2 linked regions of the Bombyx mori genome follow. The protein of the gene in region 2 purifies or fractionates together with the protein of the main gene of each other region. This does not show direct contact. Links are inferred from orthologs where the notes say so. Each region holds a gene or a part of one and is shown on either strand. Other genes may lie near its edges.

Region 1 (3,969 bases), on a different chromosome or scaffold from region 2:
AATATTTTGTGTTAACTATGATGCCCTAACTTTAAATCCATCTATTATGTTTGATTTCGGCCTAAGTAAACAAGATCTTTCTATCAATGCCAAATTTGTTGATATTATTGACAGTGACAGCCGATGGAAAAATTGTCATTTAATTTTTAGCGATTCCTCCAAACCCGGTCCCGAGGAGTGTGTGGGGGTCGGCATTTTCCATCAACAGTTTGGCATTGTTCAGAAAATAAAATTGCCTCCAGAGACTTCAGTATTTACTGGAGAATGTTTTGGTCTTCTGAAGTCTCTGGAGTACATTTTAATGATGAAGCTTAAAAAGTCAATAATTTTAACTGACGCTAAAAGTGCCCTCCAAGCCTCGGAACGTTTTCCTTTTAACAGTAACCGAAATAATCATCCTGTGATTATTGCATGTCGTGATTTATTGTATCAATGTTGCATCAAAAATTACACAGTTTCCTTTGCTTGGATTCCGGGGCATTCGGGTATCTTTGGCAATGCCAAGGCCGATAGCCTTGCCAAAGCTGCGGTCAATGATGGAGATTTGGTTCCGTACAAAAACTTTTGTTGTGATTTAGCTCTGCTTCCTAAATTCCAGTTATTGAATTCTTGGACTCACATTTGGCGTTCTTCAAGACAGACTAAATTACAGCACGATCCAGGTGGATATACCTCCTAAACCGTGGTTTTCAAATCTGACGTTTGGTAAAGCTATCACATCGACCCTTATTCGCATGAAGCTGGGCCATGCATGCATTCCCTTGCATTTGGCAAGGGAATGCACCTTTTGCCTAGTGATATATGTGAGTGTGGCAATGACGTTGGGGATTTTAATCATATATTCTTTGCCTGTCCTCGAAATGACCGTTCCGCTTTTATTTCCTCACTTTTGTCCATTAAAATTCCTTTTCCTACTTCAATTTCTATCCTTTTATCTAATATCAATATTGATGTATATAGAATATTAGCTAGTTTCATTTTTCATAATAATATAAAATTGTAACCATTTATGTACTTAGTTTATATAATATATATACCTGATCCTTTTTCCAAATTCCGTTCCAATTTCAAATCCAAAAAATAAATCCATTAACACACTTCCTAACCTTTTTGCGTGGCTGACGCACAAACCGTGCAGGCCAAGAAATGGGAGAAAAAAAAAAAAAAAAAAACATTGCATTTGCGCCAGAGACGTCAATGTCAAAAATAAGCCTGACAAAGAATTACGGACGAAATAATATAATTTGTACATAAAATATAAACAAAATATTCAACAGGCCATTAAAACTTCGCATAGGAAATTAATTCACGAAAAGTATATTGTAAGTACCTTTCCTTTGGATTATAAATATTAACTTTGATTTGCACATCTGTCATTGCAATAAGTACATACATCGAGATTGATTATTTTGGTTTTTAATGCTGAGTAATTCTACGTCGGGAGCCGGGCATTGGCATACAGACACCTTTGTCACATTGCCAAACAAATATATGATCGTGCAAAGTACGCATTTTACGTATTTAAAAGAAATCAAAATTGTTTCAACCCATTTAAATAAGTTAACCCCATTTGCCATCTATTCTTTTGAATCTATACGAATAATTTGCATAATTAGACAGCAACATTCGTCTATCAAGAATCAGTTCTATATTATTGAAGAAGACTTGCAGATTTTGTAAACATAGAACATAAGGACTTGGCACATAACACAGCTTATTGTAGTCCATTTCGTGTTAAGTAGATCAAAACAGCAAACGGTATTAAACCACGCATACAATTCAGGTATACAGCCCAATAGAATACATAAAATGAGAATTGCTTAATATTTACACTTAGGAAAACATAATGAGGTGACAAATACCTAATCCTCCATATTCGGATCATGATTTGCCAAAAATAATAAAGAATAATTGGACATGTATTATAAATATCCCCTTGTGACTAATAAGACCTTCCCTTGCTTTAGATCACAAGCTAAATAAAATATGAATGTACTTAGTGTTTATGCTCAAGCGTAGCTCCATCCATCATAACGGAACTGGTCCTTTACACCACCTAATTTATAGCAACGGTCAACCCACTGCAAAATAGATTTTGAGATTAGTCATAATGAATCTGGCCGAACAAAGTAAATAGAATAATTTGGGTAATAACCTGAAAAAGTTCTCAACTCTTCTCTTCACTGTTAGACACATAGACACAATATTCCAACAAAAATACTTGCTGTGTAAAAGATCTTCCTTTTTAAAATTTCTAGTATCAAACTGATATAACTTAAAAATAAACTGAATATTTTGATAATTGTAATTGCGATTTGATTCACATAATATGTATGTTTTATGGGATAGATGGGTATAGCAAATGTGGTTGCTCTAGTGTGTAGAAGCTACTAGATCCCACAGACACAACAAAATGGATACCTCTGCTACCTAAGTCTAACCTAACTGCTTTTTTAAATAATCCTCCACAAGCATTTTTTTTTTATTTATTATTTATTTAATATATTTTGTACACACAGCTGTTAGAAAAGACACGTCAATAAGGATACAGAGTACAAGGGCACTACTTATTTCATGCTGAAATCTCTTCCAGTAGGCCCGCAAAAGGAAAGAAGAATTAGGAACACAAACCTAGTGCATACAGTAAACATTACATATAATAATATATACATATTACAAGATACAAAACAATATATATGCATACAAATACACACACACACACACACATGCATATATATAACATACACACATATACTTACTTTATATTATAATACATTATACAAATATATATAATTTATTTAAGATGGTAAGGATAAATAATGTTCCTTAACAGATTTCTTGAACGCTGCTATGGTTTTGCACGCTCGTATGCTTGGAGGGAGGGAATTCCAAAGTATAACTGCTTGTACAGAAAACGATTTTGCGTAAGCATGTGTTTTATGAACAGGGCAATTGAGGAGAGTTTTAATGTGGGTTCTACAAGGAGCAATGGAGGGACGGGCATAGGTAAAGCGATCACGTAAATATTGTGGGTAGTTAGGATTATGTAGGATATTAAATAGGAAGCACAACATTCTAGTATTTCTGCGGAAACGGACTGGGAGCCACTTGAGCTTTTTGCGAAATTCAGAAATAGAATTCAGAATTTTTTGAGACCAAAAATAAAACGGATGCACAAATTTTGCAAACGCTCAAGCTTATTGAGAAGCTCCTCAGTGACATCCAAGTAGCAAGCATCAGCGTAGTCCAAAATGGGTAAAATGAGACTTTGGACAAGAGAAATTTTAGTTTCCAAAGGCAAAAAATATTGGAGACATTTGAGTGAATGGAATGTAAAGTTAACTTTACTGCTAACATTGTTAACCTGCTCATTCCAGCTTAAGAAAGAGTTAAAGGTAACGCCAAGGTTTTTAACAGTTTCACTAAAGACAATTGGTTGGCCATTCAATATGAGAGATCCAATTGCAGAATGATTTAATGCACGAATAGCATATCTACTACCAATTATGATGGCCTGTGTTTTGTTGGCATTGAGTAAGAGTCCATGAGACGTTGCCCATTCATGAATGTTTTCCAAATCACAATTAACATCCTTGATTGCTCCATCAATTTCACTAGGTGCGCAGTGATGGTAAATTTGCAAATCATCTGCATAAAGATGAAAATTTGAGGATATCAAAGTAGTGACTGTGTTAATAAACACTGAGAAAAGAAGCGGAGAGAGAACACCACCCTGAGGCACGCCAGCATCAACAGCAACCCAGTCTGAGAAGGATTCATTTTGACGTGTGCGTTGTGAACGGCCCCGAAGATATGAATCAAACCACCTTAGGGCAGAAGTAGTAATGTTTTCGCGGAGCAGCGCCGCGTCCTCGTTGCAAAAATAGGACCGGACTTGTCGCTTCCGACCGTCGTGGCTGCGATGCTCGGCAGCGATGAGTCCTGGCAGGCGATGCTCGACTTCTGCGA
Region 2 (2,630 bases):
TAAGTCGCATTCCTCATTTATAAGAATTGTGACCGCCACATTCTAGAAGTATCTTTCTTGTAATGTTGCGCCACCGTGCACCGTCCTGGGTGATATGAAACTCATCCCATACTAATGTCTATTATAATATTAAGTGTTCATAATTATAATAGGCACTGAAGGGCTTTTTATGATTATTTCAGGTACCCCAGTTTTAAATCGTAAAATGACATTGAGAAGGGAGACATTGAAAGCTTTAGAGACCCGTCGTAACTCTGTAATGGCAGAAAGAAGGAAGTCGCAAATGCAGACACTTGGCGCTAATAATGAATACGGTGTTACTGGAATGGTATGAAATAGTTAACATGCTGTTTTTTTTGCTGAAGATGGGCAGAGGGTCCGCCTACTGTCGTGGTAAATAGTTAAAGTTGTTTAAAGTCGTCGTGGCCTGAAGAATAAGACGTCCAGTGCATTCGTATCTTGCGATGCAACGGTGTTCGAATTCCAGGCCGATACCAATTTTTGTACTGAGTTACGTACTCAACAAATGTTCACGATTGACTTGCACAATGAAGGAACAACATCGTGTAATAAAAATGAAACCCGCACTTACTCACTTAACATCAGATGGACCGTGAGATCGTCCACCTAAGCTTAAAAAAAAACAGCCCATCAACATCACGTATGCGTCAGATATGAGGTATTAACACTTCGACATTACCACACAACTGCACGGGATCACATGTTTGCTTCACAGCAGAAATAGGCAGAATGGTGAAACCCATCCCTGCCGCAAATATCTCCATCAGTATTTAGTATAGTATTTAAACAATATTATATTTTTAATTATTTTATTATTTAGTTTTATGATTTATATTGTTATTAAGTTTTTCCGTAACCATGGTATTCTAATGATTGTACTATTTTCAGCTCAATAATAACGTTGGACCTCGTCATAGAGCATCGAATGCTAATATTTCAGTGAAGGATGTATTCTCGGAGCCCAACGGAGGACAGATCAACAGGGCCTACGAAGCCTCACTCGGGGACGACGATGACTCAAATTCCATGCGACTTCAGCCAAGACAAAACCAAGTTTCATTCCAAGGGAGGTTTTAACTAAGAGTTGCCAAAACAATCGTCCCAAGTGACTTATTCTTACTTTAAAAAAGGATAGGAGTTATGAGATTACAATTAAAAATAACTGCTTGTGATATTTTAAAAATCTTTTTGAATTTACTAGTGTGACTGGAGTAAAAAGGAGTCACTGAAAACTATTTTAGAATTAATAGCTTTATTTTAATTAAGAATTTATTTAGCTCTTTCAATTTACACTGCCAACTTATTTTACGTTTTTTTTTATTCCATTATAATCTCAGTAGAAGTTAAGAAAACCATTTTTTTTTACCAATTATAGACTTCCAATTTTGTTAATAAATGAGATTAAATATAAATGACATTCTTTTATTTTAACCTCTAAGTTCTTTTGGATATTGCAATCGCAATTGAATGAACTGAAGACCAAATTTAGTCTCAAATTCGAAATATTTTCCTAAAACCAGAAATTTTAGTTAAAATGTGCCTTTGTTGTAACTACATTTATATATTTGAATGATTAAATAGCTTTCGATTAAGAGCAGGCTTTGAAGTATGCAACAGAGAACCGTCTGCTTTGTGTGCAATTATGTAGTAATTTTTTTATCCAAGTTTCATTAGCTTTTGATGAATATTTGGATTAGTGTTTTATTTTTCTGTATTATTATTTGGGTTTCAGCTAAAACTTATAGATCTATTATTTAATACAATATTTTCCTAAAAAAGATAGCATAGATATCTGATCTATGATATATTATTATTAATACCAATTACAATTCAAAATGTTCATATTGAAAAAGTTTATGGGTATTTAGAAACACACCACCTACTTGCAAAAGATAACTTGCAAAACAGAATAGTATTGCAATTTATATAAGATGTTTTATTTTAACAAATTATCAATTAACTTATTGCAGTTCTTGAAGTAATTTGATGACACAAAATGGAGGCATTTAGTATTATTAACTATCATAGCTAATGCCACTTTCCCTCAAGGGGTTGAGAGTTAAGGTTTAGACTCTACAGGCTGAGTTGCTTACTTCAAAGCCAACTTTGGGATTTTAATTAAGATCTAATCTAGAAACTGATTTATTTTCGAAACTTACTTAATTTTCTAAGAATGACACAAATTCTGTTAGTTTGAAAAGTTGATCTTCACTAGAAGTATGCAATGGGGCTGGTTGTGCTGGGGGTAAGGGATTCACTGTCATGCCATCATCATGTAGAGTCCACCTGCGATCTTGACAGACTTGTAATGTGGCTTCCCTGCTGAGACCAATCATTGAGATCAGTTTATCTATTTTTATGGAACTGTACGATCTTCCGATAAGGTTTAGAGTCCTTTCTCGAACATTTTCTGTGAAGATGAAAAAAAATGTGATTGTATATTTTTTATTTAGATTACTTCATCAATGTGCGTCAAGACAGAAATAGAATGGATGGTGGTAAATTTTAAGCCCAAATTACAAGTAAATACTGACTGGTGATTAAAGGTCGGAAAGGACTGACGATGTTCATATAACACTCATTTCACATTGCTGGATATTCCCTCACAT

Evidence for each region. Proteins that work in one complex are often made in the same cells at the same time.
Region 1: the proteins of COP9 signalosome complex subunit 8 (region 2) and cullin-2 purify together in Homo sapiens (affinity purification with mass spectrometry; 4 studies listed by BioGRID and IntAct, counting the BioPlex papers as one, with this or other methods). This does not show direct contact. The link is inferred for Bombyx mori from reciprocal best matches to the Homo sapiens genes COPS8 and CUL2.

The regions. Positions count from the first base shown.
Region 1 is NC_085129.1:21,461,517-21,465,485, reverse strand, and holds the start of cullin-2, read left to right. Parts: upstream 1-1,169; 5' UTR 1,170-1,322; intron 1,323-3,969.
Region 2 is NC_085110.1:11,097,216-11,099,845, forward strand, and holds part of COP9 signalosome complex subunit 8, read right to left. Parts: intron 2,432-2,630; coding exon 2,181-2,431; intron 1,532-2,180; exon of another isoform or gene 1,099-1,531; coding exon of another isoform or gene 910-1,098; intron 329-909; coding exon of another isoform or gene 183-328; intron 1-182. Other genes in the region: chitin synthase A, read left to right, coding at 183-328, 910-1,098. UniProt on the Homo sapiens protein: Component of the COP9 signalosome complex (CSN), a complex involved in various cellular and developmental processes.